Linked DNA regions of Caenorhabditis elegans. The protein of the gene in region 1 purifies or fractionates together with the protein of each later gene. This does not show direct contact. Each region holds a gene or a part of one and is shown in the gene's direction. Other genes may lie near its edges.

What was found. The genes of interacting proteins can lie anywhere in the genome.
Region 2: the proteins of toca-1 (region 1) and wve-1 purify together in Caenorhabditis elegans (affinity purification with western blotting, with the first as the bait; one study listed by BioGRID). This does not show direct contact.

The regions. Positions count from the first base shown.
Region 1 is NC_003284.9:1,518,452-1,523,289, reverse strand, and holds the start of toca-1 (Transducer of Cdc42-dependent actin assembly protein 1 homolog), read left to right. Parts: upstream 1-1,802; 5' UTR 1,803-1,895; coding exon 1,896-1,928; intron 1,929-4,838. UniProt on the Caenorhabditis elegans protein: Plays a role in protein trafficking, actin organization and embryonic morphogenesis. Potentially acts as a cdc-42 effector. May play a role in hypodermal P-cell nuclear positioning.
Region 2 is NC_003279.8:11,924,041-11,931,397, reverse strand, and holds wve-1 (Wiskott-Aldrich syndrome protein family member), read left to right. Parts: upstream 1-1,881; 5' UTR 1,882-1,890; coding exon 1,891-2,027; intron 2,028-2,076; coding exon 2,077-2,680; intron 2,681-3,950; coding exon 3,951-4,277; intron 4,278-5,614; coding exon 5,615-5,692; intron 5,693-5,862; coding exon 5,863-6,123; 3' UTR 6,124-6,857; downstream 6,858-7,357. Other genes in the region: R06C1.4 (RRM domain-containing protein), read right to left, coding at 1-64, 564-591.

The DNA.
Region 1 (4,838 bases):
CCTTGTCACCGATTCTCAGTCCCAATGTCACCTTGTCTTAGGTGTACTACCTTTCATTACTAACTTCCGAATACATTTTCTTCGCCTCCTTTTCCCCATTCTTCTTTTTTTTCTACTCAACCTTCCGAGACACGACTACCTATGTGTTGTCGTCGATTTGGCGGGTCACTTGAACTTTTGCGTTTGGCCATGGAAAGATTGGCGAGGCAGGAGGGGGGACAAAAGGAGGCCTGTTTTGCATATTACCTTGAGAAACGTCGGGTACGACAAGCATAGCATTTTTTGGGTAGTTTTTTCTGAGAGTGATTGTAGGGCTTTTTTGGAAGTCCTTTGAAACCAGTATATATATATATATTTTAGTCAGCTTTAGGTTTTTTTTTTTTTTTTTCGGGCCAAGGCAGATGGTGAAGTTAAGGCTAAAATATATGTCAGGGCCAAAAAGTGGAGACCCAGAAAGTTGAGCCTTCAAAAACTAAGCCATTTAGGCTAACTTTTACTTTCTTTATTTAGGCATTTAGGCGGTTGAGCCCTTGAAAGCCGCATCTCCATTTTTTCCGCTCCTTGAGGTTAGGCTTATTTTAAAATCCTTGAGGTCAGGCTTATCATCCTTCAAAGTTTGAGACCAAGAAGGTTAAGCCCCGTAGTTGAAGGATAATTCTGAGCCCACGAACGCCAAGCCCCAAAGAAGCCCAAAGTAATGGCTGGGCACCTGAAGTCTAAGCCTTTAGGCTGCGCTCTTAGCTTAATGCCCTTCTTCAAAAACTGAGTCCCTCGGTACAGACTAAGCTTTTAGGTTACCCTTTAGCTTTTAGGCAAGCTCGGGCCTAATTTCAGGCTTAGCTTCAGACTCAAAATTACGAGATTTCCCTCAACGTAATTCGAAAAAAATTGATTAGACTAGGTATCTCGCGCCGTGCGTATTGTTGTAAACTCTTCATTTTTCGCTCATCAATATCTCCGAAAACCCCGGGACCCCGAGGTCTATCCTAGATAGCAAGATACGCAGACGCACACATGTGTATACATATGCTATTGGGCGAGAAATAGCGTCTCTTCTTTTTCTTCTTCTCTTGGGAGCTACTTTTCGAGGTCCGAGCTGCTGCAGCTCGAGCTGGGTGCTCGAGCTGACCGCGGACCCCACTTCTCGTGACCGCCTATCTTGTTTTTTTCTGTGTTGCTGTTCTCGGATAAATTTGGGATTGGAATGTTTCTTTGGGGTCTAGCCTGTTTCAACGGAAATAAGTGAAAAATTGTTTGCTGATTTTCTTAATTTTTTCACTATTTGCTGATGCTATTTTTGTAAATTCGGTAGCTGAAAATTTCTGGTACCTGGTAACCGTGAACTATACCATATGGAAAAGTTTGAAAATTGGAGGTTTTAGGCCATTTTCGGCTATTAAACTTTTTCCGATTTTTCGAATAATCTAGCACGTTTTAGCGAAATGTTTTTTTTTTGATTAAGCTTGATTTTTTCTATTAATTTCTCAATTTTGCAATAATTTTCTCCACCTTTTTTCAACCTCCCATAGCACTCCAAATACTCTGCTCTTCCACAAAAAATTTACCCCCCCCTCCTGAGCCCCCACAATTATACCTATGCTTCCTTCCGCCTCCCGGTGCCATGAGCACCAACCACAAATTGCTCTCCATTTTTGCTCCACGACACGCCCAACCGTCAACAGCTTAGATTACTGTTTTTGTTCCTATTTACGAACTAAAGTTTTCAATTTTTTTCTCCTTCTCGTTTGTTCGGATCTTTTTTGTGCTGCTCATTGCTGTTAACGTTTTGAGTTTTTTTTCAGACTTCAACTCGAAAAAGTTCCAATTAGTGTTCATAAAAAGAAGGAATCGAGATTGGATTGGATGGTAACAACCTTTTGAAGAAGCGGCGAACAATGAACGACAGTTGCAGTTGGGACCAGCTATGGGTAAGTTTTTATTGAATCCTTGGTAAAAACTAAAATTTAAAATAAGAAAACAGGCTACTAAAATGAAAAAACCGCGGGTCTAAAAAAATGGCCAAAATCACCAAATGTTGAGCTGAATTTTTTACGATTCTAAACCGTGAATCCTCCTTTTTTCCTAGTTCAACATTTCAAAAAATCTACTGATTAAAAGTATGTACATATGTGCCTAAAATTGTAATGTTATGCACTTCACACTGTGAAAAGGTTAGAAGGTTTCCACCAAAATGAGAAAAATGGCACGAAACTTCAGATTTTCAAAATTGGGCGCTGCTTCAAATTGCTGAACTTTTAAAAAATATGTCAAAGTTCCAAGATACCAGGATTATGCCTAATTTGGAAAAAATTGGAAATATAAAATTTTTCCAAATTCTGTTACAGCTCTAAAGCACCCACGCCACGAATTTCCAGAACCTAGAATTTTTCGAGACCGCCGCAGTTTCAAAACTCCAAAATTTGACGAAATTCCGGGCCCAACCACTTTAAGGATTATTTTCTGGGAATATGCAAAAATAGGGATTTCAATTGATATCATGGCAAGACGTCCGCAGGGTTTTGCGCCGCACTATATTTTATTTGCAATTGCCTGGGTGGGGCGCGAAACCCGTTAGATGTCGGACCATAATATCATTTGTATCGATATTGGGGTACTGATACTGGCATGATCACAGATGGGCGGTCCCGATACTTTTTGAAATTCGGTAAAATTCCGAAATTTCTAAAGTTCGGATGAATTTGAAATTTGGCGTTTGCCAACTTCTAGTGCAATTTTATAGTTTCGATGTGGAAAATCCTTGGATTTTTCTCAAATTTTTAATAAAATCTAATGATCCCCCCCCTCCCCCCCACCAAACATTTCTACTCGTTCCTACATACATTTTCGCATATCACATATACCTTCTCGTCTCCCGCATACATAATTTAGTAGTTGTAAGCAAGATCGGGGGGTGGCGGGCGATCACAAAGTAACGGCGGAAGCGGCTCACCCACCCTCCGAACACACTTGAATTAGTCATTTGTTGCTAATGTAGAGGTGGATACTAATAAGGAGTGGCGGGAGGTGTATAGAGAGAGTGAAAGAGAGAGAGAGAGAGAGAGAGAGAGACGCAGAATTAAAAAACAGGGTTACCTAGTGGGTTTGCTGGGCGCACGTTAGTATGTTTTGGTAAATGCGCTCTAATTTTAAAATTCAAAAATGGAGTGGAAATTTCTATAATATATTTTAAAAACATTTTTTTTTATTAAATTGGTCCGTTCACACTGATTATGCCTACTTTTTTAAGACGTTGTATTTTTAAAAATTGATTTCAAAAAAATTAATTTTCTACTCTCTCTCAAAAACTTCTCTTAAAAACTACAAAATCCGATTTTTTTTTCGCCAAAGTTTCTTATCAGTTTACAGAAAAATTGTGAACATTTCAGAAATGCCAGTATGACACATCTTTTTGAACATATCAGTTTGTGCTTGAATTTGATTCAGAAAAACAGCAAAATTTTTTTTCTTTCAAATTTTCCCAATACTTCAGCCAGTTTTTTGTCGTTTATAACAGTAATCTACCGCAGAGATACAAGCTTATAGAACTTAAAGCCGAGAGAGTGTGGGACGAGGGGAGAGTGCAGACTGTCTTCAATTTCTAGTGCTCAAAATTTGAGAGCATGTAACTTGAGAAATGAATTCTGAAAATTGGATTTTCTATCGATTTACTCTTTAAATTTTCAATTAGGGCTCCCATGTGGGTGCCGCAAACGCCGCCCTCACGCCGGGATCCGAAATCTTAATAGCAATGCGCGAAACCCAAAAAATGTCGGATCGCGGCGCCTACATGGGAGCCCTGGTTTTAATATAATAATGGTTCCGAACAGTTTTATTAATAAAATTGCACAAACTTTCTGATCGTCGGTTCTCCGCTCTTTCCTTATCGTTCACTTCTCGCCAATTTAATAGGCAAAAGCGGTAGTTGGGGAAGGGCGGAAAGCGCAAATAAACACAGCTTCACTCTCTTTTTCTCCCTTTTTCGGCACCAAAATCGTACTTTCTGTGATTGTATTTGTGTTTAGCAGGGAATTATCAATAAGATTAGAAGGTTTTTTAAAAAGAAAATTTTTTGTGGGGTCCCTGTAACCTTGGATGTAATTTTATAACATGGTGCATCGACTGAAAACTACACTAGCAATTTTTAAGTTTACGGTTGAAACTTGTCACTTTTACATACATATTAAGGGTTATCAGTATATTATTCATTCAAAATTTGTGCTAGTAAAGTGAAATTTTTTCTCTGTTTGAAAAAATATGATAAAATGCCAAAAAGAACGTCATTTCCTATGACAAATTTTGTCCGATGCACCATGTTCAAAAAATTTCTTTGGCTCTCACATATTTTTCAGGTTTTACCGCCAAACTTATCGGACTTTTCCAGTCGATGCACCATGTTCGGATTTATTTTTCTAGACAAAATTATTGCTGCTCCTTCAAAAAATATCGATTTTTTTACCTGATGCACCATGTTCAAGTTTTCTGAGAAAAATTTCTGTAATAGTCGAAAAGTTACCGAGAACATTTCAAAACGAAAATGTCATTCTGCTTCCGTTCCCCATTCCCCCCTACTTCTTCAGCCTTACTGTCAATCCATTTCAATTCTACAACCATTTTTCTTCATCTCCCCTCATTTTCCCTTCCTCCTCCCCCTTCTAACTTCTTCTTCTTCTTCTAGTCGCGTCGTCAATCGGTGTTGGGGTCGACAATTCATTGTATATGTAGATCACATTGCATTCGGATTGCGCCCTTCCGTCCTGGCGATAGTTTCTAGGACGCCGCGCCTTGGACACTCACCGCACCTTTTTTCTGCAAAGTTTGAGTTTTTGCTTGGGGCACTT
Region 2 (7,357 bases), on another chromosome or scaffold:
TGTCCGACGGCGGCGAAGTAGTTTCCGATCTCCTCCTCAGTTCCTTGGTATGGAACGTTTCCAACTAGAAAAAAATCGATTAGCAAAACGGGGGTAATAGTAGGTTTTGGCCTATATATAGAAAGTTACAAACTCTCACAATGCACTGTTACAGAGCAAATGCACCCTATCCTAGTCCTAGACTACGGAGACCATGACAGTGCGAAAAGTCTCTTCACCCATACTTTTTGTGGTCGAACGGCGTCTCCATTTCCAGAATTGTGTGGCGATCCGTGTGGGGTCCCGGGTACTCAGTTAGTAGACTCAGTTATACTTATACACGTGGAAGGGGACTACCTGAAATATCGGGATTTGTTGTCAAGGAACACGAATGAACCATAGAGAACGAAGGCCGATCGGAAAACGCTAACAATTATCAGAAATCGATACTTTCTGCAAGTCGAAGAAAAGTTCATCGAAGAAAAGTGTGAGAAAGTTTCAGAAGTTTTGAGAATTTTGTATCATATTCAAAATTTGTACAAATTTAAATTTAATTTTCACCACCGATTTATTACTATACTTACCGTAGACGGAGAATCCTTGGGAAGCCATGATAGATTTTTTTTTGAAGAAAAACGAGTGTGTTTCCGCGTGGAAGACAGACTAAAAATGTTCGATCGAATTTGGCAGTCCTAAAAAGATTGAGGCCAAACGCGCGGCGGGTCTCGCAGCGAACGTGCCGCACTACGGTCGATTTTGTGTAGGTTTACGGGAGGGATATTTTGGAGAAGAAATCGGCAATTGTTGGGAAAGTGAAATGCTTATTACGTAACAAATTTGACGCGAAATATACCTCGTAGCGAAAACTACAGTAATTCTTTAAATGACTACTGTACGGGCTCGGTATTCGAAATGAATTTTAGCTTCTGTGACACAACCAAGTTGGCGAAAATTGAGAATTTAGCTATATTTTGTTATTTTTCTCAGAATTAGAACAATTTCATTGATAAATAAAAAGGACCATCTCTCCGAAACCTCGCCATTTCACGATATTTTGAATATTTTGAACAGTAAATATTGAAATTTCAATCTCATTCTATTTTCGCATTTTCCTGTATCGATTTTTTGTTTTGTATATCATTTTTTAGACCGAAAAAAATTAATATTTAAATAAATATAAAACATTTCCGGAAATGAAAATATTTCCGATGAATCACAGCGAGACACTGTATGTATTCGAGAGAGTGCAGACGCTCGCTTGCGCACTTCTCGTGAGTGTTTGCTGACGCATCCCGGGTGCACCTTGGCGCATTTCTGGATTAATGATATTTTAATTGAAAAACATGAGATTTTATTGGTTTTTCCTCGTTTTTTGCAGTTTTTCCGATGAAAAAAAACATTTTCTGACAGAAATAATAATTTTGAAGCTGAAAAACTATGTATTTTATGATATTTCGTTGGAAAATTAGGTTTTATAAGTTTTTCAGTGAATTTGTGGGTTTAGCATGTAAATGAAGCAATTTTATATGTTTTCTAGCGATTTTTCCCGGTAAAGTTACCAATTTCAGCATAATTTTATTAAAAAAGTGGCTTTTCTGTTTAAAAAACTCAATTTTATAATTTTTCCAGTGCATTTTCGTGTTTACCATTAACATTAGAGTTTTTCGTGGAATTTTCCAACTAATTTCATTGATTTTGGCTGCTCGCTTTTATGAAGTTTCCAGTGAATTTTTATGTTTAACTAATTTTTTTCACGATTTTCGTGCCAATTTCCATTAAATCCATGGATTTTTACATATTATTCAGGGAAGAAAGTGATTTTTTTTCGATTTCAAGTCATCTTCTGTGAATTCTAACGCTTTCTCGCAATTTCCACCCACATAATCCCGCAATTTCTGCACATTTTCAGCAATGCCTCTAACAAAACGGGCGGTATCACCGGTAAACCTCAGCAGAGGCACAATTCCATCAACAATCCATCGTGATGAGCTTCAATGTACTGCTAATGGGACAATCGCCAATTTAGTACGACAATTGAGCTCGTTGAGGTGGGAAATTAGGTCGGAAAACTGGAATTTTATCGATTTTTTTTTGCAGTAAGCACGCTGAGAACATCTTCGGAGAGATTTATCACGACGCAATGATAATAAATCACAAATCGAACACTCTTCAACAGAGAATTGATAGATTGCACAAGAAAGTTGAAGATTTGGATTCAAATTCCGATCAAGCAACGTTGAATGAAGCGAATATGCGAAAAGCATTCAAAAGTTCAATGCTTGTAGATCAACATATTCTGGATAGAAGCACTTTACCTACAGCATTGACTGAAATATATGCAAAATGTGATCCACCGCCGGATCTTGATGCTCTAAATCCGTATAGAGACTCTGAAATCCCTGCGCTCTCTCTCTACACAAATCCCTCGTTTTTCTTCGATTTATGGAAAAAGGAGACACTAAAAGAGGTTGCCGAACGGCCCAGACGGGTAAAAAGCCCGAACGACGGGAGTAAAAGCCCGAAAAAGCGGCGGAAGCAGCCTGGACAAGGCCCTCTCGGCACGACGGCCTATAATGATATGCAGCATAGGAATCGACAGATTAGTGGATCACGGATTAATCAGCAGAATGAAGTTTTCTCGTTCCCGGAGGAATATCAGGCTCCGCAGGCTCTCGGGCTTCAGCTTAACTTTAAAAATCAGGTAGATTTTCGCGAGATTTTTCGATTTTTTGAAGAGAAAATCTCCAAACCGTTGAAAATCGGAAAAAATCGATAATTGAGCCCAAAAATTTGAAAAAAATCGAGTTTTTTGCTGAAAAAGTGAATTTTCTATTGTTTAAAAAGAAAATCAACTTTTCAACGAGATTTCAGCGCTTACACAGCTCTTGTGCTCCCCGAGCAGGCCAAAATGTTCTATTTTGGGGCAAAATTATGGGTTTCCAGTAATTTGGAGCATGAAATTTCCTAAAAATGCACTTTTTCGCCAAAAAACAAGCCAAAATCAATGAGAAAAAGTCACTTTTTCATTAAAATCTGCGAAGATTGATAAGTTTTTGGAAAAATCGCTAGAAACCCTACAAATTAACTTCAAAAAAACTATGAAATCGAATTTTTCAACGAAGTCCCAGCTTTTCCGCTTCAAATGATTTTTTACCGTTGAAAATCGGAAAAAATCGATAATTGAGCCCAAAAATTTGAAAAAAAATCGAGTTTTTTGCTGAAAAAGTGAATTTTCTATTGTTTAAAAAGAAAATCAACTTTTCAACGAGATTTCAGCGCTTACACAGCTCTTGTGCTCCCCGAGAAGGCAAAAATTCTCTATTTTGGGCCAATATTTGGGTTTTTTAGCCATTTGGGGCTTGAAATTTCATAAAAATTCACTAGAAACTTCCAAAAAGCCGAGTTTTCACCGAAAAACAAGCGAAAATCAATGAAATTAGTGGGAAATTCCTTAGAAAAAATAATTTTTCAACAGAAAAGTGCCACTTTTTCATTAAAAATATGCGAAAATTGATAATTTTTTTTTTGGAAAAATCGCTAGAAACCCTACAAATTAACTATAAAAATCCTATAAAGTCGAAAGTTTCAATGGGAACAAATAATTTTGAAGCTGAAAAGTTATGGATTCTAGAGGATTTCGTTGAAAAATTCGATTTTATAGGGTTTTTATAATTAATTTGTACGGTTTCTAGGGATTTTTCCAAAAAAACTTATCAATTTCAGCATATTTTTAGTGAAAAAGTGAAACATTTCTGTTGAAAAACGTTTTTCATTGATTTTGGCTTGTCTTTGAGGCTGAAAACTCGAGTTTTTTGGAAGTTTTCAGTGAATTTTTAAGAAATTTCATGCTCCAAATGACAAAAAAACTCTGAAAAATCGATAATTAAGCCCAAATATCCTTCTCTGGGAGTAATTTTGAAGAAAAAAACGATTTTTTCCACTGAAAATCTCCCAATTTTTGATAAATTCAGCACCCCTCCAACATGGTTGCCCCAATCGGAATGACAATGCACCATCATCCTCAACAAAATGTGCATCCGAGCCAACAACGAGGTGGTGCTCCAGCAGCAGCTCGTGGATCTCCGAATGTTAAACGTCCGACTGAAGCTCCGCCGCCAGTGAATCTGGATCACCTCCCACCACCGGATATGTCAATTTTATCGATTGATGATGATGATGATGATCTTCCACCACCACCACCACCGCTTCTCATGAATACATCAATTGTACATCAGTTACCAGCAGAAGCTCCGTCGACGATACAGTTTGTCGAGCCGAGTGCTGCTCCGCCGACTAATGTACGTTTTGGAGCTCGAGAGAATTTGGAGATTTTGGAGTAAAATCTTGGTTTTTGCGAGGAAAAAAGCTTGCGTTTTTGCTTTAAATTGTCCGTTTTCACGACGAAAAAGCTTGGAAAAGCTTGAAAAAACTAGAAAATGTGAAAAGTCTCTATTATTCTAAGTTATTATGAGCGTTTAGAAGCCTTAAGCCTTTTTCAGGCAAAATCTCGCTTTTTCGCTTTAATTTGTTCATTTGGGCCACGAAATCACGAAAAATTGGTTGAACTCTATTAGAAAGGCTTGAAACGGCTTGAAACCGTTTGGAAAAGCTTGGAAAAGCCTGACAGAGCTTGAACTAGCTTGGAAGAACTTGAAAGAGAACGATAAAGCTTGAACAAGTTTGGAAAGCCTGACAGAGCTTGAACTAGCTTGGAGAAGCTTAAAGAGCTTGAAAAAATAGTGAACAAGCTTGGAGAACCTTGAAATGGCTTGAAAACGTTTGGAAAACCCTGGAAAAGGCTTGAAAAGGCCTGCAAAAGACAGGAAAAGATTCCAAAACGCTTAAGAAAGCTTGAACAAGCTTGGAAAAGCTTGAAAGAGCAAGAAAAAGCCTGGAAAAGCTTGTAGAGCTTAAACGAACTTGTAATAGCTTGAAAAGGCTTGGAAAAGCCTGACAGAGCTTGAAATAGCTTGAATGAGCTTAACGAGCTTATAATAGTTTGAAAAAGCCTGGAAAAACCTGGAAAAGCTTGGAGGAGCTTGAACAAGCTTGACCAAGCTTGAGCAAGCCTGAAAGAGTTGGGAAAAGCCTGAAAAAGCTTGGAAACGCCTTGAAAAAGCTTGGAGGAGCTTGAACAAGCTTGACAAAGCTTGAAAAAGCCTGACTGAGCTTGAAATAGCTTCGATGAGCTTAAACAGCTTGAAACAGCTTGAAAGAGAACGATAGTGGCTTCGAAAAGCTTACAGAGCTTAAAAAAGCCTGGAAAAACTTCAAAATGCTCGTGCGAGCTTGAAACAGCTTGTAAAGCCTGAAAGAGCTTGGAAAAGGCGTCAAAAAGCTTAGACGAGCTCGAAAAAGCTTGCGAAAGCCTGGAAAAGCTAAAAAAGCCTGACTGAGCTTGAAATATCTTCGATGAGCTTAAAAAGCTTGAAACAGCTTGGAAAAGCTTGGAAATTTGTGAAAAGCTCCAAGATTTCTTGTAGTGCATAAAATTAATTTGAAGCTATATTTCTGCAATTTCCAAGCTTAAAACCCCGAATTTTTCAGTTAAAAATTTGCAATTTTTGTCCATTTTTGTGTTTCCCTCATTGTTGTCCACTTTCCGCTTCTTTCTTCAATTCTCGATCCCTTTCAGATCCCTCCACCACCTCCACCACCACCTCCAATGGTTATAAGCTCGGCTGCAGCGTCATTTGCAGCTCCGGCTCCAAAGGTAAAGGCGCTGGAACAGCAGGGCTCTATGTGTGTCTAACCCGCTGAAAATGTGTAGTTTTCCTGTGTTTTTTGGACTTTTTTGAAGCTTTTTTAGGGACAAATTTCAAGAGAAATAGCCGAATTTTCATCAAAAAATCGATTTTCTCCCACTAAAACTGAAATTTTCAGCCATCCGCGGACGGTGAAGCTGCTGGCACAAATTCCCCAGTTGCTCCAAAACAACCAGATGCTCGAAGTGATCTTTTGGCTCAAATTCAATCTGGAATAAAGCTGAAAAAAGTGCAAAGAGCCGAGGCAGAAGCCGCCGAGAATGCTGCTCTCGAGGCGAATAATGTTGCGGCGATATTGAAGAGACGAATGGATCAAGTTATGGGAAATGATGATTCAAGTAGTGAAGAAGGAGCTGATGATGATGAATGGGATGATTAATTGCTCTCTTTTGTGTCGATTTACGCAGATCTCGTGTACTCCTCGAGGAGAAGATTCTACAGATTTTGGCTAAAAATGCTTGATTTTCGCTATTTTTTCCTTGAAAATTAACATTCAAAGCGGTGATTTTTAAGCGAAAAACCCGTGAAAATAGCTCTAAATCAAGCATTATTACCCATTTTTGCATTTTTACTGATTTTTTCGGTGAAAAAAAAAACGATTTTTCGCTGAAATTCTTGATTTTCGCTATTTTTACTTGAAAATTAACATTCAAAGCGGTTATTTATGCACTTTTAAGTGAAATCTGAGTGTTTTTAAAGTTAAAAATAAAAATAATTCATTGATTTTTGCCAAAAAAAAAACCGTGAACATTGCGAAAATGGCTCAAAATCAAGTACTTTTTTTTGCTAAAATGGTTGATTTTGAGCCATTTTCGCTATTTTCACGGTTTTTTTTTGTCGGTGAAAACTTTAAAATCGCTCAAATTTCACTTAAAACGCTATAAATAACCGGTTTAAATGTTAATTTTGATAGAAAAATAGCGAAAATCAAGCATTTTTAAGCCAAAAAACTGTAAAATCTTCTCCTCGGGGACTACACGAGCTGCGTAAATCGACGCACACTTTTTCGAATTTTCTTGTGTAAATACTGCCTTGCTTTAATTTATTTATTCAAAAATTTTTAAAATTTTTTCCGCTTTCCTGTTTCAAATGAACTGATTTTTCTCATTTTTTGCCCCTCCAGAATTGTAAATTTAAATTTCCAAGTGGTCGCCTGCCCCCTCATTATTATTTCGCAATTTTATGATTCATCAGTTTTTCCAATTTTTATTCGATTTTTTTTCAATTTAAATCAATTTAAACCTTTGAAATGTAGGAAAACTTCAATTTTCGCTTAAAATTTTCAATTTTTGGTGAAAAATCGATTTTTCCGGAAAAAAAACGTGAAATTTCCAATTTGGAGCACATTTTTATGAAATTTGCATCATTTCTCTCGAATTTACGAAAATATTTAAATTTTCAGCGGAATTTGGACATATTTCCTGGAAAACTCTTGATTTTTCGCAGAAAATTGCAATTTTTCATGCAAAAATTTGTTTTCTACGCATCGGAGCTCCAAAATTCCCAAATTATTCGAAAATTCAATTTTTAGCTTTTTTTTTCTCGAAATTTCAATTGAAAATCGTGTTTTTTGGCTCATTTTAGCTCAGTTTTCAGCTGAAAAATTCGAAATT